7 linked regions of the Kluyveromyces lactis genome follow. The protein of the gene in region 6 purifies or fractionates together with the protein of the main gene of each other region. This does not show direct contact. Links are inferred from orthologs where the notes say so. Each region holds a gene or a part of one and is shown on either strand. Other genes may lie near its edges.

Region 1 (3,053 bases), on a different chromosome or scaffold from region 6:
TCGACTACTCGTCATCACTGTCCATCCATGCTGCTCTTCCTCTTTTGTTAGATATTTTACCGTCATCGTCTGAGTCTGATTCTGGTTCTGAGTCTTTTCGTTCGGTCGCTCCTTTTCTTCCGTAATCCGCATCTTCGTCTTCTTCTTGTTCTTCTTCTTCTTCTTCGTCAGAATCTATTCCAACAGCTTTTCTACGGTTTGAAGAAGGCTCAGTATCAGAGTCACTCTCGTAGTCACTGTCACTGTTTTCATCTTCAGATTCGCTATGTTTCCCTTCGTTAACTTCCTCAACCGCATCAAACCAGTCACTATATACATCTACCGGTTGTGATAGACCATTAATGCGGGTTTGGAACGATTGTCCACAAATCTTACAATGAAGCGAGCCAATGTTATTCTTTTTGTCCATTGTTACGCTCACAGAGCGTTCGTGATTACAGAAGAGACAATTGAATGCCGTATCTAACCTCTGTACTATCTTCTTGGCTGGACCTCTGGATGACTTCTTTCTCTTACCCATGTCTAATGCTCTTCTTATTTGTCTTGTGAGAGCGTATGCTTACCCCTGCGGCTAGATTTGATTAATATATGCTAATATGCCTTTTGCAGTATAAATGAACGGGGACGATGACTATGTTTACGATATAATAATAATAATAATAATAATAGCAACTTAATAACTCATAAATCAGATTCGTGCGGCGTATTCTCTGTTAAGGTATCCTTTATATCGATCGTGAGTCCTGTTTGACAGCCGAAAAAACCTAACTCAAAAATAGTACTGTTCCGAAATAAACCAGAGAAAGAAACCCTAAAATACACAGTTTAAGCCCTTTTGTATTGTAACCCCATTCACTGAACGTAGCCCGTTGCTCATTAGTAACTTTTGCACAAACACGCACCGAGATTCAATATCAGATTCGGTTACTCTTTATTTCTTAAGTGTCAAATGTTATCAAATTTCAAGAAAAGTTTCAAATCATATATTACGGCCTTCGCTTTCAAAAAGCAATATTTACTAACTACGTGAACACAGTGGAGCTCCTGCGAAACAGAAAATTTTTATTTTTGACAATAGAGAGCTCATCTCATCATAGCTCATCTCATCTCATCTCGAAGTATGTTGCACACCTAACACGATTAATAAAGTAATGGTATGTAAAGTATTTAAGTACCTATTCTTATTTCTCAGCTCAAAGGATTGATTAGATATATACTGGATATTTCATAGTTGCCAGTACGAACTCGAGAAGTAAGCTTACCTAGGTGAACCAACAATTTGTTGATCTTTTTCTGAGACAGTGCGAATCAAGTAAGTTAAAAAACGCTTGGAAAGAATCCAGAATATAGAGGAAATAACTCCACTCATCCAGTCTAGTATATCTACAAGCACATTATAAGCAATATCAAAGTTTAGATAATATGGCAACTAAAACTAAGAAAAGCAAGGTTTCGACCAAAGCCACCAAGGCTACTAAGGGCAGTAAAGAGGAAGAAGTCATTCCAGTTAACAGAGTTAACAATGCTGTTATTAAATTGCAAGAATATTTGAAGGAAAATGGATCAAATGACAATCAGTTAATTGATGATTCTGAATTGGAGGCTCAGCTACAGTTGATCCTAGTCAACACTGAATCTTTTACTGGTTCTTTGAAAAACTTCAAACCAAAACTAATTACAGTTCCTCATTCTATCTTCAAGCCATGGAAGGAAGCTAGCACCACCATGGTTAAAGATTTCAAGACTCTTTTGATTCTAAAAGATTCTGATATCAATTCAGTGACATCAGAAGACTTGATCGATCTACTTCCAGAACATATTACTATTGATGCCATCATATCTGGTAAAGATTTGAAGACAAAATACAAGGCTTTTGAAAAGAGGCGTGCATTTGTACAGGATTTTTCTTTCATTCTAGCTGATGACTCGATAGTGACAGCTTTGCCCAAGCTATTAGGTGGTAAAGCATACAGTAAGTTGAATACCACTCCAATTGCCATTAACACAAGATCGGATAACAAGTTTAACAAGACAACTTTGGTAAATAGCATCAAGAGAATTTATGATACTAAAATCCCAGTCAAACTTCCAAGAGGTAACACGATGAATGTTCATCTAGGTTCATTGGAATGGTTCACCCCAGAACAATTGACTGAAAATATCATTTCTGTCGCTAAACAGTTCATCGAAAAGTACAATATCAGAACCATTCTTCTCAAATCTAACGAATCACCAGTCCTTCCATTATACGTTAATTTGGAAGTATTAGACAAATTGGTTGGGTCCAGACATGATGCTAAGACTTCCGTTCAAAATGTCATAGAAATTGATGGTGTCGAATTGCAACTATCACAATTTGAGAAATCTTTGTTAGAAATTGCAAATCCAGACGAACTAGACTCCTTGTTTGCTACGCAAATTAAGCAAGCCAAAAGAAACTTGGAAGAGGTCGAGGCAGAAGAAGAGCAAGAAGAACAAAAGAAAGAGCAAACGAAAGAACAAAAATCCAGCGCTAAAAGACAAAAGACAAAGAATAAAAACGTAAAAAATTAGAGGTACAGGAGTATCGCGTTTTTTTTCATTCCTCTTTCTTAATTTCTATCCTTCACAAATATCGTCTTAAAACTTACCCATTTAGCATAGATTTAACGGCTGTCACCGCTCCTACAATGATAGTTTTCCCTACAAAATGTATTTAATCTGTACTCAAATTTTCCAGATAGCATCGATACTTTGCAATTCATAAAAGAATAACAGTAGTTAAATTCAGTGCGTTTTCGAACCAGCAGGAAAACGTTATTCCTAGTATTGTTTGGATGGTGCAAACCCATCGCCGCTCGAACAACTTTTCTGATGTGCCACATTTAGGTTTGCTGGTTTTTCTGTGTGGACTGGTGCGTCCATGCAGTCAGTGAAGGAAAAGGAAAAACGAAAAATAAAAGTGTCACAAAAAGATTTAATTACTATATTAAACATATGTCAAATATTATATAAACCACAGATTTCACAAACTTTCACATCATCACCTCTGTTATTCGTGCTTATTCGTAGTT
Region 2 (2,189 bases), on a different chromosome or scaffold from region 6:
AGTCAATTGTGAAGTAAGCCCAGAAATGACATGAGACCCCTGCAATGCCGTTAATCTGGCCCCTATGTCGTTTATTTTCAAGTTGCCCTCTTGAGTAGCTATCTTCTCTTTCAATTGATTGGCTTGTTCTGTGGTCTTGTTCCAGAAACTGGATACTGTAGCAGAACCGCTAGATGACCACCAATTGGAAATTGACGCCAGTGGGTCCTGAACTGCCTCTTCACCTTCTTCTGCCACATGTTCTTCTTTTCCTTTCTGTTCACTCGGTTTCTCTTTACTGGCTGTCTCTTCTACAGGTTTCTCGTTCGATTCTGGCTTCTCCTCCGGTTTCTCTTTCTCTTGCTTCTTAGAGGATTGTGGCTTGTCCTTTTTGGACGGTTTCTTCTTAATATCCAGGTTACTATTTTCCAATTCGTCTAAGAATTCCATAATATCCTCATCCTGGCCGCCGTTCCCACTAACCTTACCCTTTCCCTTAGTGTTATTAGCAGTACTGGCTGGTAAAGAGTCTAAAAACTCTAGCACATCATCGGCATCACTAGTCATTTGGTGTTTTCTTTTTAAGTCTTTACTGTCGATAAAACTTGAATATTGATACGAATTGTTCAATCAAGAATCGATATATTCAAACTAGAAAATTATCGCTGAAAGGCAAGACAAAACTCCAACGGTTGAACTTAAACTAGCCTCCTAATCCTTGTGAACACAAGTATATAGTTTCTATCCTTTCTCTATTGTCATGGTTCCAACTACCGTGTGTTTTTTTCATGTATTGGTCCATTCTAAGGGTGGGTCGTATTTAAATATCCGGGTAACTATGTCACTTTCATTACCATGAAATAACGCTGGTATACATAAAGTGAGCAGTTAGCCGAAATGTAATGAGCACCGTGGCCTTTATCACCACCTATTCTTACCCCTTCCATAGATGGTGCTCTCCAGTACCAATGTCGGCATGTCTTGGCTTAAATCTTAGCATTTTTCATTAACTAATACCGTATCTATTTTGTACTGCCGTTTCTTTTCTAAAATTTTTCATCTCATCTCATCGCGAATCTGTTGAAAAGTTAATGCATCTCCATACCATGTACTTGATCCCCCGTTACTATTCACCTGTGCTAGCTATCTTGTTACTTGTTACTCTTAGTACTGGCTAGTATTCCTGGAACTACAAGTTAACGGTTAATCACAGTACTAAAATTCGAGATGCCATCTAAGAACTCCATTAACAGGCCAAAGCAAAAGGTTAACTTGAACCGTAAGGTTCATCAACGTGCTGCCAAGAGAGATGCTATGGAAAAGAAGGGTTTATTGGCACCAGCAAGATCTTCAGGAACATCTAAATCTGGTCAGTTGAAGAGTATACCATTGGATCTTTACAAAGGCGAGCATTCGACCTCTGGTGCTCTTACGACCAAGACTCTTTCGAAGAAAAGAGCAAAGAAGATCGAACGTAACTTGAAATACGTGGAACAAAGAAAACTATTAGTTGATCTACAATCTCAAAGTGAGGAAAACGGTGGTATGCAGATTGATGCGCCTGTTGTGAAGAAGGAGAAGGAAACCAAGAAAGGACAATTGGAAAAGATGAGAGAGGCTATTTCCACGGTGTTGGAAGATATTCAATCTCAAGGTTTATCCCTTCAGACAGGTTCTGGTACAACTCTAGGTGGTCAGTATTTCTTGTAGAGAGTCTTAAAAATCGTTAAATGGGGTTTGCATTGTCTATATAAACATTTTGTATACTAGGATAGATCTTAAACGGATCGTTCATTAAATATTATTCTGACATAAAAAAGAGTGCGTATATGTACTTAGGTACTTACTACTTTTCGTATAAACCTTTGGTCACTAATGCATCATTGACCTTGGTTTTCATAAATCCAATGACATCTGCTGGGTCGTGCGCGCGGAACACAGAGGTACCGGCAACAATGACATTGGCACCTGCCTCGGCAGCAAGTTCGACATTCTGTTTACCAAGACCACCATCGACTTGAATGTTCAAATTAGGAAATCTAGTTCTCAAGTCCTTCACTTTGCTCATCATATCGGCCATGAATTTTTGGCCACCGAAACCCGGTTCGACAGTCATTACAAGAGCCATATCCAGGGATGGTGCCAACTCGTACAACACATCCACAGGGGTACCTGGCTTCACAGAACAGGCAGCCTTCATACCATGCTTC
Region 3 (3,651 bases), on a different chromosome or scaffold from region 6:
AGTTATTGGTTTTTAGGATCACCTTCTCGCTCCTAGTTATGTGCACTAGATATCTCGCTATGTCATATTCATTGGTAGTTGGGTTTGTTGATTTGGTTTCTGACTCCAAATCCTTTTTATACTAAAATCTAATTAGCCGCCATCATTTTGAACGTTTTGATAATCCTTCCGAAGCAAACACACTAATAGTAGAAGAACTAATGACAAAGTTGAGAGCTTGAGTTCTATTATGATTTTGCTAGTGTACAGATCTACAAGATACTTAGAAGTTGCTATTTATACATTGTTTTTGTTGCAATTGGTTGGTAAGAATAAAGACTCATAAGAACAAGACTCTTGGGCTACCGAAATCAAACGAGTATTGAATATAATATGAACTGGTGTATCAATGTAGAGTTATTGTGTGCAGATGCGAAAAGGGTGTTTGTGTATGAAATAGAATTTGTTATCTGTTGAAGTAGTTCTATCAAAGAAGGTAGTTAATACTGGTAATGAATAAATTAGAATTTCATTTTCCATGGTTGAGTTTCTCTGATCTTCAAACCAAATCTCTTATCCTCGGACAATTGAGCCAGTTTGAATATACCTGCAACGATATTGCTTGCAGTATCCATAGAGTAAACAGAATGAACCCAGTTAGATTTTAGGTTTCCGCTGATTCTTAGCAACTCTTCATCACAGATGGCTACAGTGACACATTGACGGACCACAGGAACTGGCGTAGAGTGTTTTTTTAGCAAGGATTTCAACTGTAGGTTGGACAAACCTAGTTTAGGTAGAGGAAGCTCGAAACCTGGGTATAAACCTTTATTCTTTGCCATGGCGTCATAACTTGACACACCGGATGGGTTTGTTAGATCCAAGATCTTAGCCCAAGGAACGTGTTTTACGATGGTGACATCTCTGTCGATTGTTAGGTAGTTGTTAGAAATTTCAGAAAGACCTAATCTGAATGGCTTGATTTCTTGCTTGATGGTTTCGAAATCAGGCTCCTGTACGTCCAATGGGAAAGAATCAGCGATATGAGCTAATTTGGTAGGGTATACACCTTGTTTATCCAATCTGGTCAACACTTGTCTAGCAGCTCTTAACTTTAGAACATGGCTCTTTGAAAAATCACGGCAGATGGCACCTGGTCTAGCCACCACATCAGAGGATTCAGATTTACCGGAGAATTGATCGACAGTGTGTAAAGTGATCAAACCTGGCTCCAATCCTTGCAATGGAGCCAACTTCAAATCGATCATGTAAACTTCACCCTTGACAACGGTAAAATCATCTGTTGGGACCACGGTATCTTCGGTGATAAATGGGTTCTTACGCTTGACATCAACAGCAGTTTCATTGACGGTTCTAGCAAGCATAGCAGCTTCCTGATGAGACTCAGTCCAAATGACACCTTTGAAGTCTCTTTCGACAATGATATTTTCGTTTTGACCAGAAAGGAATCTTTTGATTCTTCTGATACGAGAACCAGGCACAACGCAACAATTATAAGATTGAGCAATGGTGTCAACTACGGTCCTAATCAAGGAACCAGTGACCTTCGTAGCGTTGAAATCAGCTGGAAGTTTGGTCAAATCGTTTGCAGCAGCTAATAAGTTAGTGACGGACTCAACAGCGATATGGGTGGCAGCTAGAGCATCAGCTTTACCACCTAGCAAAGCAGCTTCAGGTAGCAATTTTCCAGATTGGGCATCCTGAACGGTTGGGTAAATGACCACGGTGTGGGACACGTTACAAGTGTACCCATCGATGTGACAACCCAAAGTGATCTTAGCGACATCACCAACTTTCAAAAACCCAGACAAACTAGAAGTAACACCGTTACATAGCTCGATCGATTTGGTAGATCTAGATTTTTGGTTCCAACGGGACAAGTTTTCGATGTCATCCACTTCAGGACACCAGTTCTCGTTTATTTCATCGATATCAATACAAGTTGGCATTGAGATTCCCTTCTCGTTAACCTTATTGTTGAACTTAGTACTTAAACAATCGGCTATGAACGAATCAGTCAATAAACAAAGTTGATGAATCGGTAGCGGCTCCATAGACTTCTCATGATACATCTTATTGATCAAACTGATCAAAAAGTTTAAAGCAGTCTGAGCAATTTGACCTGCAGTTCTATATTTCTCAATTGTTGGTTCGATCAATACATTCTTATCTTTCAATAACACCTGAGTGTCTTCCTTTGAGATTTGTAACGCCATAGTACGGATAATTTTATCCACAAATTATTAGTATTAGCTGTTTTCTGATACAAAGGAGGGAACGATACACTATGATAATGATGTAAGTATGTACCTCGTTTCTCTTTACCTCATCTCATCTCATCGCTTTAAAGTTTTCACTGATACTTTTTTTTTCCAAATTTCTTTCCTGGATACAACCTTTCCTGCCACACAGCACTAAGATATTTCAAAAAATTTTCCAAAATATTACCCGGACCTCGATCAGAAGAGAATGAAAAAGAAATCACTTTCTGATCACGTGCGCCAAAAGTATTAATATTCGGGTAATGTGTATCATTAGAACTCATGACCCGCATATTATCCGGGTAATAGATCTGCTGCCCATGTTCCACCCAAACACCGCGCTGTGCACGTCACTTTTCCCACTCTTTCTAACAACAATCCCGTCTGTCTAATTGAATCAGCACAATAAACTCTACCTACACCAGACGAAACTGTCAGATATCCCATAATAAGTAGAATATCAATACTCTCCGCATCATCAGCTACCCAACGGTTCAAGTTTGACCCCAATTAGAGCAAAATTGACCTTGCTTATACCCACTTCTTGTTATTTCAAGTCCCTTATCTATACCGACTGGCTGGCTACGAAATTTTTTGAAGTTTTTTTCCCAAGTTCACAAGTATTTAAAGGCGGATTTAATTGTGAATATGATGAGAAACAGTTGTTGCGTGATTAAGAACCTTTTTTTGGTCTTTCAGTGATACTGAGCCAAGCAATTGATTAATTGACTGACTGATTGATTGATTGATTGATTTTTGTCAAATTTTTTGGAACAAGGAATCGTTCATTAGTTGGCTTTTTTTTGTTTTAATATAGAATCAGGAACTCAGAGCTTCTTCTTCTTTATTTCTTCTCTATACAACATATTTTGCCATCACTACTGCTGAGTGTGTATTTGTGTGTTCTAATTGTTGGTCGCTATAGTAGTTAATACCGAAAAGAACAATAAATTAGGCAAACCATGCTATCTTTGAAAGCTCAATCCTCTGTGGTTGGGAAGTCCAGCTCTTTGAGATTGGTTAGAAACTTTTCTAAAAACGTCCGTGCTTTGTCCCAGGTTGCTGATGAAACTAAGCCAGGTGATGATGACCTAGTTCAAATTGATTTGCCAGAAACCTCTTTTGAAGGTTATCTTTTGGATGTTCCTGAATTAAGTTATCAAACCACCAAGTCCAATTTGCTACAAATGTACAAGGATATGATTATCGTTAGAAGAATGGAAATGGCCTGTGACGCTTTGTACAAGGCTAAGAAAATTAGAGGTTTCTGTCACTCCTCTGTCGGTCAAGAAGCCATTGCCGTTGGTATTGAAAACGCTATCACTAAGCGTGATACCGTCATCACCTCTTACAGATGTCATGGTTTCACCTACATGAGAGGTGCTGCTGT
Region 4 (2,845 bases), on a different chromosome or scaffold from region 6:
ACTGCCTGTGAAATTTCAGACTGTACATTTAAATCGATCTTTTTGTAACAATTCCCAACAGATGAAAGGTTCCACACCTGATATCGCCCGCCCTGGGTTAAAATAGAAACTATTCTTTCTCCTTTACCGCTGATTTCGCCCAATTTGAGAGATACCACTCTCTTTGATTTGGACATGGATGAAAAGATTCCGACTTGACATTTTATTATGGTTTGTTTTAGCGATACAAAAGGTTTCCCGTTAGCATCTCTTATAGTACAAAACTCAACACGCCCGTAATTTGTCGAAAGTAATATTCCAGCTGGTTCTGCATTAATCAAATTCTCTACATATTCACCGTCACGTAGTTTTAAAACTGATTTATGACGTTTGGTTTGCGTCAAGAAACTTGCCACTTGACTCACAGTATCAACATCTTCATAGAATTGAATGTCACCGGATCTACTGTTCACTAAAAATAAGCCAGGGCTTGATTTCAAGTCACGTTCGAGCACACTAGGCCACGTAAAGCAACATAATGGAGGACGGGACCATGATTCATATTCCTCGTCATGTAATGGAATCCTTACAAAACTAGGGTGTGTTTCAGAAGATAAAAATGGCCAAACGTAAACATTATCAGTATCGCAGCATAAGGCGTACCCAGATTTTGCATCAACGCTACAACATAATTCCACATTACTGGGCAAAAAACTTAAACTTGGCGCTAACTTCGATACCTTATACTTCCCATTCTCTGTGATAACTTGTTCATTCGAAAATTGTACATTGGTGACAGCAGAACCAGTTGTCGTTTCCTCAGCAGAGATTACTGAATCCTCTGGTGCTGCTGCTGGTACACTAAGCTCTTTCCTGAGCTGAAACAATTGCTTCATCTTGTACTATCTTGACACTGAAAAAAAAAGCCAAAAGAATCACCAAATGTAAAACTTTGAAATTCTAATCTCAATTGATCCACTACCTTGTTAGCCGAACCTAGCTTGACCTTGCATTGCTGTAATTATAAAGGTAAATAGACTCTCTGATGCTCATTGTTTAAAATCTTGGTCAATGTTTCTGTTTTCATTGTCGCCAAAGAAATCGTCATAAGTGATGTCACGTGAAACATTTTCCGCCACGTGACTTTGGAATAGTTTCTTTTCACTTATCAAGTAACTTGGAAAATTAAATCTTTAAACTGGAACAAATCGATGCGATGAGCTAAATGCGATGAGCTAAGTTACAGTCTACATAGTTCATCTTTTGGCTCAGATTTCTATCCTATAAGGTGTAATTGTTGTGATTTGTATCAAGACACCGTAAACACCAGGATGATCAGAACAGTAAAGCCTAAGAATGCCCGTGCTAAAAGGGCTTTGGATAAAAAAGAAGCAAAATTGGTTGAGAATGTAAAGCAAGCTTTATTCATTCCTGGTCAAACTTCTACCAAGTTGTTGCATGATTCAATGGTTGATTTGAGTGCGTTGAAGAAGCCTGATATCAAGAGATTCTCCAAGAAGAACAACATCAGACCTTTTGAAGATTATGAACCATTAGAGTTTTTATCTGAAAAGAATGATACATCGCTTATGGTGTTGAGCACACATTCTAAGAAGAGAAGAAACAATTTGACTTTTATTCGTACGTTTGGGTATAAGATCTATGATATTATCGAGTTGCAGATTGCAGAAAACTATAAACTTTTGTCTGATTTCAGAAAACAAACTTTTAACGTTGGGTTAAAGCCAATGTTCAGTTTCCAAGGTGCAGCCTTTGAACAACATCCAGTTTACCAGCATATCAAATCATTGTTCCTTGACTTTTTCAGAGGTCAGAATACCACTTTGCAAGATGTTGCAGGTTTGCAACATATCATTTCTATCACTGTCCAAGGTGATTTCCAAGACGGTGAACCATTACCAAATGTTCTATTCAGAGTGTATCACTTGAAGACTTACAAGTCCGAACAAGGTGGTAAGAAGTTACCTAGAGTGGAATTGGAAGAGATTGGTCCAAGATTCGATTTCAAGATCGGAAGAATTCACACTCCATCTCCAGAAATGGTCAAGGAAGCCCATAAGAAACCTAGACAATTGGAAGTCAGAGTTGCTAAGAACGTTGAGATCGATACTATGGGTGATAAGATCGGTAGAGTGCATGTGGGTAAGCAAGATTTGGGTCAATTGCAAACTAGAAAGATGAAGGGTTTGAAGGCTAAATACGATCAAGTGGATTCGGATATGGAAGAGTACCTAGAAGAAGTTGAAGGCGATCTTGATCAAGAAAATGTCGATGACACTTACGGTGAAGAATTCGTAACGGCAACAGATATCGATGCTCCACCTGCTAAGAAGCAAAAGAAATAAATTCCATTGACAATAAAAACTGACTGTATAATATAATTCATATACATATCTAATCATATACATACACATTCGCATATATATGAGATAAAGGTGAAATAGAGTATAATTCTTTTTTTTTTTTTGATCGATCCACTGCCTTAATTCGTGGAGGCTGAACGGTTTTGCAATTTTTGTTTGTTCTCTACTAATCTGAGCATGTTTCTCAACAGCATGGAGATGGTTACTTTACCGGTGCTTGGAACGTATAGCGATGCTTTTGATTTCACAGACTCATCGAAATTCTTCTCTGAGGAAAAATTGATACAGATAGCGCCTTCTTTAATGTAATCAGTAGGGAACTTGTATTTTTCACCAGGAACACCTGTTATTATCACGTCAGCATCTTTACAGCATTCCTTCAATAGCTCCTCTGAATATGCACCCAAGTCTTCTACATGATGTTTCGTAAACTTCAAACCTTGCCCACGTGTGAACTTCTGAATGTTGTTGATATCAACAGA
Region 5 (2,438 bases), on a different chromosome or scaffold from region 6:
CGCATTTCTTTAACAGTATTGATGATATAGTCAGGGGACGATCCAACGTGCGGATTCTGTTCCTTGATAAATTACAGTATTTATATATGTACTTGACATATGTCGAGATTGAGCTCCAGAATAAAGGAAACACATCGATGTGCTATGAAGAAATTATCATCTACGGTTTAGAGTCCCTGTTAATGACGAAAGAACAATTGGAATCAGAAGAGACACAGAAAACTCTTGATCTGTCAATCTCCCAGCTGCGACATTGTAACCTCATCCTTCATGGATCGCTTCGACTGGAAAATCAGTACGCTGTGCGTATCAGAATGGTGTCAGCGACAGATCTGGGAATGATGTCTCAAGGTTGGAAGAATCTGACCGAATATTGGCAGTACGTGTATTCGATAAAGGATTCCTAGAGAAGAGATTAATGTACAAAGGAGAAATATATAGGTTATGATTATATATATATATTTATAGTTTATCACTGCAATGCTTTCTTATTTTTGGATTTATTTCGAATCCATGTTGATATTGATCTGTTCCACACTAGAAGTTTCGTTATCGTAGTATGCGGCAACCTTCACCCTGAATTCAGCAGCTGCTATACCAAATTGTTTCAAGATCAATGCTTGAGTAACATCTAGAGTTTTGCCCTTTTCACAGACCAAGTATGGAGATTCGATGGTAATCTTACCATTCTTAATTTTGGTTGGAATCTTGAACTTGTTTCTTAGAGTTGGTTCCAGAGAATGTATCATAGGCACATCTTCTTCTTCTGGGATTTGACCACCACGAGAGTATACAATACCGGCTGGAATGGTAAAAGACAATGGAGCCTTTGATTTTGGTCTGGAGAAATCAGCTCTCACATATGCCTTGAAGTAATCTTCCACTACATCGACAGGTTCGTTGGTAAATAATAGACCAGTAACACCAGAACAGTGCTTACATAGTTTGGCCAAGTTCTCCTTGTACTCTTCCTCTGGCTTTTCACCTAACGCTTTCACCAACACCTTCCTCTTACCCATGATTAACTTGGATCCAACCCAAGAACTTCTAATCTCTTGCAAAACTGGAGTTCTCACATCTTCCAAATGTAAAACCCAAGCGTATCTGAAAGAATCCAAGGCTTCTCTAACTTCATCGAATATCCTTTCCTTGTTCTCTCTACCCTTCTTATCGGTTTGGGCCAATGTAACCAACTTTGAACGCTTAGATCTTGGCATCGTATCTGGGTTGGTATATGTAGTAGCTTGATGATAAAGAGTAACGAAAAGTAAACAATTATCAGAACACTATTCAATTACAGAAGAGAGATAAATAAAGAGGAATACAACTGATAGAATATAGCGATTAGTACTGTTGATCAGTTTAAACTATGAAAGGTCCATCGAGTAGATGCGATGAGATGAGCTTTCTCAAACTGAAAAATTTGCGCCTTTCTTTTTCTTTCTAGTTGTGAGTCACGTGATTTGATTTTTCCAAACGGAAAGTAACGACCTCTGACACAAAGTGAATCGGTAAGACATATACCGGCTCTTTTGCAATGCTCTAGGGCCATTCTCATAAGCTCGGTTAGAGAGGTTTATTCTAAGGAACTGCAAAACCAAACTCCGGTATGAATTCCCTTGACTGATTTCTGAGTCTCTCACTCATTGCCAATGAGACAATAGATCTCAATTCAACACAAATATCAAGACTAGAAAGGCACAGATAGGGCATGATCGTGTATCGGGCAAGTAGATATAGTGGTAATGATTTAACCTATTACCGGAGATGTATTGTAAATGGGGAAGTAAACTTAGTCACGTGACTCATTACTTGTGGCGACGGGTATTGTGTATATTTTCCTCAGATAAAACCGCAGTGTACCGGACCAAAATGTACCTTAAAAGTTCAGAGTCAGGAAATTGCAATCTCAGTACATATTTAGCAGGAAACAAACTAGTTGGTTTGATATGAACAGCCGGCGAGTTAAACATACCTCTTGTATTGCTTGCCAAAGTCTAACAACCTCTAAGATACCAATTATTAAGGTGGTAAGAGATACCGGGTTGTGAACTAGAAATTTTAGATAGTAATTTTGCCTCTTATTTGTGATTTGAAACAGGAAAGGGTTTTGAAAAGATGAGTTATTACGATGGCGATGGCGACTATATCATATATGAAGATGCGAACGGTAGCCATGAAAGTGATGATGTTGAATCTGGCGAATATTCTTATCCAGAGGATGAAGATGATTTAGAGTTTGTCCATCACGATGATGATGATGATGAAGACGAAGACGGGGAAGAAGATGGATCGCAAGGAGAGCAGTTGGACGAAGATCAAGATGAAGATCAAGACGATGAGGAAGTAGAAGGTGAGATAGGGAATGTTTATCATGAAAGCCGTTCTGGGGACCGTGCGGACAGGATTTCGTTTCTACAAGATATTGTTTCTCGTCT
Region 6 (3,256 bases):
GACTTTGACTGTCAAATAAAGCACTGAGTTCGGCACTTTCGGCATCAGATAATGGTCCCAATTTGTCCATTTCTGATTTAAGTTCATTTAAAAGCTCAATTTCTGAGTTTTCCTGTTGTTGTGGTTGCTGTGCTTGGGTTGATTGTAGTCTAGTACAAATCCGAAATGATCTTGGGCTCATAGCCGCAAAACTTCTTGTAACTCTTGTAAGCATTATTAACTAGCCGTTGTATTATTAGTAGGCTGTTGTGTGGTTATGCAGGTTTTCCCGGTGTACACCTTTCTTACTATATAGATAACTTATCGATTTCCTATGGTAAATGCCGGCTGAATCGTTCTTCATCTTTTCAACTATGCTTGAAGCTTTAATTTTTCAAAATTTTCAGCTTGTAAGAAGAAGGGACACCTGTGCACCTCATAATAAATGTAAAAGAAGCTATAACATACATAAGGCAGTCTATAATTTAATCATGCTAATTATTCAGATGCAGTGGATCCACTCAATGAGTCCATATCCTGACCATTTTATCTTTCCCACCGCTACATACACGTTTACCGTCTACAGACCAATCTACAGTGTAGACTTCATCTTGATGACCGGGTAGATCGACGGACAGTTTTCTAGTTTTGACATCCCAGACTTTTAAAGTGGTATCTTTGGAACAAGAAACGAGTAGTCTACAGTCGCTTGACCAAGCTACTTGGTAGACACTCGCTACATGTCCTCTAAAGGTGGATAGGAATTTACCATCCCTTCCATCCCATAATTTAATGGAGTTGTCAAAGGATGCAGAAACAATGTAACGGCCATCTGGCGAAAATGCAACGTGGTTGACGAGCTTTTGGTGGCCGGTCATTCTGGTAATAGGTTTAGTAGACTTCAAGGGGTTCCACAGATACATAGTAAAATCGTCACTGGCAGTTACCATCAGTTCTTCGAAGTCACCTTTTCTTTTAGCAACTTTTTCGTAATTTTTCAGAGCCTTCTGTTGGGCTTCTTCAGGTGAAGCAGGAGTTTCGCCCTTGTGATCGAACGCACCGAGTCTTAATGCATAATCTGTTGAAAGTGAAAGATGATTAACCCAATGGGCGTGTGATTTTAGGATATTGATACATTTACCGTTCAAATTCATGTCCCAGCATCTGATTGTTTTATCGTGAGAACCACTGTATAGAACATTTTTTCCACCCCACTTGACACAGGAAACAGAAGACGTATGGCCACATAAGGTTAAAAGGCAAACTCTTCTTGTTGTATCCCAGATTTTGATAGTTCCATCCTTGGATGCAGTTGCTAATCTCGGTTTGTCACCAGGTTTGACAAGATGGATTGGTTCCCAAGATAAGGAGGTAATCCATTTCGAGTGACCTCTTAAAGCATCACCATAAGGCTTACCTTTGCTTGATTCCCATAATCTAATTGTGTTGTCCATAGAACCTGTGGCGATTAATTCACCATCTGGAGACCAGGAACAACATAGGACCCAGTTGTGATGGCCTTGTAACGTGCACATACGCGTTTGAGTGTCACAATCCCAGATACATGCAGTATTGTCACCAGCACCGGTAACCATCCTGGAGCTTGTATTTGGAGCAAATGCAGAACACAAAATTGTCGAGCCATGACCAGCAATTGCAGAAGACGACCGAGTTACTGGTTTTACTTTGAAGATAGCTCTTGGGGTATACACTAGAGTCAAAAAATCTTCGGTAGTTTTCAAACCTGGTTTTAAAATGGATTGATATAGATTATCTCTAATATCTACCATTTCCTCATCTGCATCCTTCTTTTTGTTGCTAACTAAACAGCTAAACGTGTATGGAACAGGATCTGCCGAGTCTCCATTTAACTGATTCAACAATTCCTCCAGTTGCTGCTCCGAAATACCACCTGGAACCCTTAGAGAACCTCCAACAGTTTCACCACTGTCAAAAGCTTGGAATTTAATGAGAACATTTGGAAGGTCTTTGGGAATAAGGTCAACTCCACGTTCAGCTTGAGCTTCTCTTCTTTGCTTCTTTGAAGGCGGTGGGAGTAAGGTTGCCATGTTTCGTTTGGATTGCTTGGCCTAACAAATTCAGAGAATTATTTTGGGCTCGTTTAATTACCTAAAAACTTCTTTCGAGAAAAGACCTGTGATTATTGCTGGAATACTAATATCGTTCACCAGAACCTTCTCCTTTTTAGGGAAGTCGACTTGGTAGTTGAAGCTCATCTCATCTCATCTCATCGGCATCTCAAAAGATTTTCTTGAACTTAAGAATTTCTTTTAGTTCACCACTTCCGGGTAATATAAATCTTTATTATGTTGAAACTATGCTCTGAATACCTTATGGGGAGCATCAGGCACAAAAAATTCCTAGACTGCAATTTACTTACTGGCAAGCAACTCACAGATAACGGAAAGTGCATGTTACATTGATACTATACGGATCCGGCATTGTTTAAAAAAAAGTCAAACAAAAGTTCCTATTATTATTATATATACATACAATACTTATACAAAAAAAAAATCTATGGTTACAATTGTTACATATGATCGTCATGGGGAGGAAACTTTTATGTCTATCAGAACTAGTTATGAGTTTCATTATTAAAAGATTCTGCATTGCCACCAAATGCAATGTTACGTATTTGAGAAATCCAGGGATCAAGTAACAATTCCATTGCAGTTGCTCTTTTATTGGCATCTTGTATTAAGCATCTGCTTATGAACTTTCTACCCGCAGATGAAATTTCAGACTTGGTTGGGAATTGCGGAAGGTGACCAGCTGCAACATGATACATGATAGCCCATTCATTGTCTAAGTTAGCCCATGGACGTCTACCGGTCACCATTTCCAGTACAACACAACCTAAAGACCATATATCATCGGATCCGAATTTTCCGTGTCCTTGACCAGTCACCGTTTCTGGTGCCATATACATCGGTGTTCCGATCATATCTTTCCCGCCTGTAGATTTGTTATTGGCATCCAGTGATATCCTCTTTGATCCGTTCTTTGCAATGAGTTTTGCGGCACCAAAATCTACATATTTGATAACGCCATTACGATCCAATAAGATATTCTCCGGTTTGATATCTCTGTGCACAACTCCAGATTGGTGCAAACATGCCAATCCCTCAAGTAATTGTAGTGTGTAAACTTGAGTTACCATTTCATCTTCAATCCGGCCATGTTCGAGTAAACTGGCTAAGGAGGAACCCTCGCAGAATTCCATAAAGATATTAACCTTGTCTCTGTGAACTTCCAC
Region 7 (3,896 bases), about 920 kb from region 6:
GCCATACTGAAAAATTTGGAACTAAAGCGATGAGATGAGATGAGATGAGATGAACCATATACATGAGAGAAGAGACAACAGACCACAAGGTTCAGCAGGTTAACTAAGGACAACAATAACACGATGAGCAAGGAGTACAGCGATGTGGATGATTTTGCGTCAGACGAAGAAGAGGACAACCAAGTGTTGATCACTGGGAAGGATGCGAAGAAGAATGTGATTCAGTTTGATCAAGAAGAGGACGAGGAAGAGCAAGAGGAAGAGGACGAGGAAGTACAGGATGAAGAAGAACCGGAGGATAAGGTAGTACAACTCACAGAACAGCAGATAGAGAAAGAAAAGCAGAGACGACTCAAAAAGCTTAAGAGCGATAAGAAGACGAAACACAAGACCGGTGTGGTTTACCTATCGAGGGTTCCACCGTACATGAAACCAGCCAAGCTAAGGCAGATTCTCACAAGATTCGGTGAAGTGGACCGTCTGTTCTTGAAACGTGAAGAGGAGCACAAGCACCAGCAGCGTGTCAAGAGTGGTGGGAACAAGAAAACGATGTTTGAAGAAGGTTGGGCCGAGTTTATCAGAAAGAAGGACGCTAAACTGTGCGCATCGACTCTAAACGGTAATATTATCGGTGGTAAGAAGGGAAATTTCTACCATGACGACGTCATGAACGTTAAATACTTGCCCGGGTTCAAATGGGCCGATTTGACAGAACAAATCGCTAGAGAAAACGATATCAGACAAGCAAAGCTACAATTGGAAATCTCACAGGCCAACAAGTTGAACGCAGAGTTCATCCATAACGTAGAGAAATCAAAGATGGTCAACAAGATGAAACAGAGCAAGAAACGTAACCAACAAGAATCACAGCAGGTCGATGAAGAAGTTCGCAGGACTTTCAAACAGAGGAAAGTCGCTTCGACAAGAGCATCTGCTCCAGATTCTCAGAGACAATCCCAACCGCAATCGAAAGCACTCAACGATGTCATGCATAGTTTATTCTAAGATGACTATATAACACATATATAAAGCATATAGCCAAGCCAAAAGCCCTACAGAGAGTACAACTCATCGCCTGCCATTCCCATGGTCAAAGATCAGGTTTCTTTTTCATTCCCATAGTGTAAGAAAAAGTGAAAAGAAAAAATTTTCCAGCTCATCTCATCTCATCTCATGAATTGGAACAGGAACAAAGGCAGGTTCATCAGTGGTTTGTTTCGATTCAGGTTGATCTCAGTCCAGGCAAGAGACATTCAGTTACTTATTCTTCCATCTGTTTGAGTTTTCGATCGAAATTGAACGTGTTCGTTACCACAAAGAACGAACAAACGAACGAACCAAAGGAAACCTAATTGAAATCTATACCAAGGCACAATGGGTACCGGTAAGAAGGAAAAGCAAAGGAGAATCCGCGAAGGTAATACCAAGGATGGTAACCTTCGTGTGAAGGGTGAGAATTTCTACAGGGACACCAAGAGAGTGCAGTTTTTGAACATGTACAAAGGTGGTAGATCTGTTCGTAATGCAAAGGGTGACATTATCAAGGCTGCTCCGTTGCAGGATACTGCTGCTCCAACAGCAAGAGTGGCTCCTGACCGTAGATGGTTTGGTAATACCAGAGTTATTTCTCAGGATTCATTGAGCCATTTCAGAGAAGCTTTGGGCGAGAACAAGCGTGATTCTTATCAGGTGCTATTGAGAAGAAATAAACTTCCGATGTCGTTGTTGAACGAAAAGGATTCCGCTGAATCTCCAACGGCAAAGATTTTGGAGACAGAGCCCTTTGAACAAACTTTTGGGCCTAAGGCTCAGAGGAAGAAACCAAGAATCGCTGCGTCGTCGTTGGAAGAGTTGATTTCAAGTACTTCTACCGATAATAAGACTTTTGAAGAAAAGCAAGAATTGGATTCTACTCTGGGGCTTATGGGTAAGCAAGAGGAAGAAGACGGTTGGACGCAGGCAGCAAAGGAAGCCATTTTCCACAAAGGTCAGTCGAAACGTATTTGGAACGAATTGTACAAGGTTATCGATTCCTCCGATGTCGTCATCCACGTATTGGATGCTAGAGATCCTTTGGGGACTCGTTGTAAATCGGTGACTGATTACATGACCAATGAGACTCCTCATAAACATTTGATATACGTCTTGAACAAGTGTGATCTTGTTCCTACATGGGTTGCCGTATGTTTTAAACTTTCTTTTTAATCTTCAGTGATTACTACTAACCGATTATACTTTCTAACTGGGAGTGAATACCACAGTATCTTGAGAATACCAAAATTCTTTGTCAGGGTGTTTCTGCGTACATTCTAGTACAACTTACACATACAGAAGGGCCTGTTACAGTTTTGGAAGAGCAATACTACCCACCCTCGATCTATCCATCGTTTTGATGGAGTCATGGTTGAAACCTAGTTGAACAATCTTCGTTTTGAGGATATATCAGCGCTTTTATTTCGGGTACGGAGGAACTTAAGAGTTGAGCTTTGGATCTGAAAAGAATTATTATGCCATGGCTCGTAGTAAAGAACCTCACATCACCACTAATATACTCAATACAGCATGGAGTCAACCCCCAGTAGAAAGCATAATTGGTTATTGATTCACATATGTGATTACAATTTTACTAACACGATTTTCCCTATTTTTGATTCTCAACAGGCAGCATGGGTAAAACATCTATCGAAGGAACGTCCCACATTGGCATTCCATGCCTCTATTACCAATTCATTTGGTAAGGGTTCGTTAATTCAACTTCTACGTCAATTCTCACAACTGCATAAGGACAGACATCAAATCTCTGTTGGGTTCATTGGATATCCAAACACCGGTAAATCCTCAATCATCAACACTCTAAGGAAAAAGAAGGTCTGTCAAGTGGCACCTATTCCTGGTGAAACTAAGGTGTGGCAATACATAACTTTGATGAAGAGAATCTTTTTAATCGATTGTCCCGGTATTGTACCGCCATCCAGCAAGGACAGTGAAGAGGATATTCTATTCAGAGGTGTGGTAAGAGTTGAACACGTTTCGCATCCTGAACAATACATTCCAGGTATTCTAAAACGTTGTAAGAGACAACATTTGGAAAGAACCTATGAGATCTCCGGATGGAAAGACTCTGTAGATTTCATCGAAATGATTGCAAGAAAGCAAGGTAGACTATTGAAAGGTGGTGAACCAGATGAAAGCGGGGTATCGAAACAAATCTTGAACGATTTCAACAGAGGTAAGATCCCATGGTTCGTACCACCACCAGAGAAGGACAAGATTGAGGAAAAGGAACCTGGTGATAAGAAACGTCCTGCAGAGGAAAATCAAGAAGATCAAGAAGAGGAAGAGAAGGAGCAAGAGGAACAAGAAGAACCTGTTTCTAAAAAGGCCAAAAAGGAATAAACCAAACACTTCCTCAATATTTAATTCTCTCCAGACACGGGCATCGCTTTATATATAGACACACCATATACAATCTTATCGGATCTATCGTTTTTGTACATTAATATCAATCGGATGACTTAGGCTAAGTCTTGCACATAGAAATTTATTAAATAAATAGTAGAAAGGCTGGATAACACCGAACGTTGTGAAGCATGCAGATCAGGGGCAGAAACACTGGACAATGGACCCATTCGGGTCCACTGTCCATTGAGAAGTGGTGCCAGTGGTAATATCAACACCGTACACAATGACATTTCCCTCGAAAATTCTGTTTCTGCCAAAGAGGAACGAAACAGGAAAGCCTTTAGCATTAGATAAGGAAGAGACAGAGACATATATGGTTGGAATACGATTCAATTCTGATTTAAGAGTTGTCATTTAGGACTACTCCAGTAAGTACGATAGAATTTTAATGCAATCTCTTAATAGTCAGCTCGGAGGATTGCCAAATTCGGAGC

Evidence for each region.
Region 1: the proteins of RSA4 (region 6) and CIC1 purify together in Saccharomyces cerevisiae (affinity purification with mass spectrometry; 3 studies listed by BioGRID). This does not show direct contact. The link is inferred for Kluyveromyces lactis from reciprocal best matches to the Saccharomyces cerevisiae genes RSA4 and CIC1.
Region 2: the proteins of RSA4 (region 6) and ALB1 purify together in Saccharomyces cerevisiae (affinity purification with mass spectrometry; 4 studies listed by BioGRID). This does not show direct contact. The link is inferred for Kluyveromyces lactis from reciprocal best matches to the Saccharomyces cerevisiae genes RSA4 and ALB1.
Region 3: the proteins of RSA4 (region 6) and ARX1 purify together in Saccharomyces cerevisiae (affinity purification with mass spectrometry; 12 studies listed by BioGRID, with this or other methods). This does not show direct contact. The link is inferred for Kluyveromyces lactis from reciprocal best matches to the Saccharomyces cerevisiae genes RSA4 and ARX1.
Region 4: the proteins of RSA4 (region 6) and RPF2 purify together in Saccharomyces cerevisiae (affinity purification with mass spectrometry; 3 studies listed by BioGRID, with this or other methods). This does not show direct contact. The link is inferred for Kluyveromyces lactis from reciprocal best matches to the Saccharomyces cerevisiae genes RSA4 and RPF2.
Region 5: the proteins of RSA4 (region 6) and MRT4 purify together in Saccharomyces cerevisiae (affinity purification with western blotting; 5 studies listed by BioGRID, with this or other methods). This does not show direct contact. The link is inferred for Kluyveromyces lactis from reciprocal best matches to the Saccharomyces cerevisiae genes RSA4 and MRT4.
Region 7: the proteins of RSA4 (region 6) and NOG2 purify together in Saccharomyces cerevisiae (affinity purification with mass spectrometry; 8 studies listed by BioGRID, with this or other methods). This does not show direct contact. The link is inferred for Kluyveromyces lactis from reciprocal best matches to the Saccharomyces cerevisiae genes RSA4 and NOG2.

Annotation. Positions count from the first base shown.
Region 1 is NC_006042.1:2,032,635-2,035,687, reverse strand, and holds CIC1 (Cic1p), read left to right. Parts: upstream 1-1,422; coding exon 1,423-2,553; downstream 2,554-3,053. Other genes in the region: ELF1 (Elf1p), read right to left, coding at 5-520. UniProt on the Saccharomyces cerevisiae protein: An adapter protein that specifically links the 26S proteasome to its substrate CDC4 which is one of the substrate recognition subunits of the SCF E3 ubiquitin ligase complex. Required for turnover of cell cycle regulatory proteins CDC4 and GRR1.
Region 2 is NC_006041.1:1,345,430-1,347,618, reverse strand, and holds ALB1 (Alb1p), read left to right. Parts: upstream 1-1,206; coding exon 1,207-1,689; downstream 1,690-2,189. Other genes in the region: DUF5427 domain-containing protein MTC1, read right to left, coding at 1-546; ribulose-phosphate 3-epimerase RPE1, read right to left, coding at 1,826-2,189. UniProt on the Saccharomyces cerevisiae protein: With ARX1, involved in proper assembly of pre-ribosomal particles during the biogenesis of the 60S ribosomal subunit. Accompanies the pre-60S particles to the cytoplasm.
Region 3 is NC_006042.1:1,098,206-1,101,856, forward strand, and holds ARX1 (putative hydrolase), read right to left. Parts: upstream 2,217-3,651; coding exon 501-2,216; downstream 1-500. Other genes in the region: PDA1 (pyruvate dehydrogenase (acetyl-transferring) subunit E1 alpha), read left to right, coding at 3,224-3,651. UniProt on the Saccharomyces cerevisiae protein: Probable metalloprotease involved in proper assembly of pre-ribosomal particles during the biogenesis of the 60S ribosomal subunit. Accompanies the pre-60S particles to the cytoplasm.
Region 4 is NC_006037.1:704,979-707,823, forward strand, and holds RPF2 (rRNA-binding ribosome biosynthesis protein RPF2), read left to right. Parts: upstream 1-1,310; coding exon 1,311-2,345; downstream 2,346-2,845. Other genes in the region: NUP133 (Nup133p), read right to left, coding at 1-875; MTD1 (methylenetetrahydrofolate dehydrogenase (NAD(+))), read right to left, coding at 2,483-2,845. UniProt on the Saccharomyces cerevisiae protein: Required for biogenesis of the 60S ribosomal subunit.
Region 5 is NC_006038.1:1,184,309-1,186,746, forward strand, and holds MRT4 (mRNA turnover protein MRT4), read right to left. Parts: upstream 1,218-2,438; coding exon 501-1,217; downstream 1-500. Other genes in the region: SHU1 (Shu1p), read left to right, coding at 1-407; putative ubiquitin-protein ligase UFD4, read left to right, coding at 2,119-2,438. UniProt on the Saccharomyces cerevisiae protein: Component of the ribosome assembly machinery. Nuclear paralog of the ribosomal protein P0, it binds pre-60S subunits at an early stage of assembly in the nucleolus, and is replaced by P0 in cytoplasmic pre-60S subunits and mature 80S ribosomes.
Region 6 is NC_006039.1:748,529-751,784, reverse strand, and holds RSA4 (Rsa4p), read right to left. Parts: upstream 2,049-3,256; coding exon 501-2,048; downstream 1-500. Other genes in the region: IMG2 (mitochondrial 54S ribosomal protein mL49), read right to left, coding at 1-214; mitogen-activated protein kinase kinase kinase SSK2, read right to left, coding at 2,576-3,256. UniProt on the Saccharomyces cerevisiae protein: Involved in ribosome biogenesis. Required for processing and efficient intra-nuclear transport of pre-60S ribosomal subunits.
Region 7 is NC_006039.1:1,670,945-1,674,840, reverse strand, and holds NOG2 (putative GTPase NOG2), read left to right. Parts: upstream 1-1,374; coding exon 1,375-2,181; intron 2,182-2,661; coding exon 2,662-3,396; downstream 3,397-3,896. Other genes in the region: RNA-binding ATPase activator ESF2, read left to right, coding at 124-1,005; CCR4-NOT core DEDD family RNase subunit POP2, read left to right, coding at 3,851-3,896. UniProt on the Saccharomyces cerevisiae protein: GTPase that associates with pre-60S ribosomal subunits in the nucleolus and is required for their nuclear export and maturation.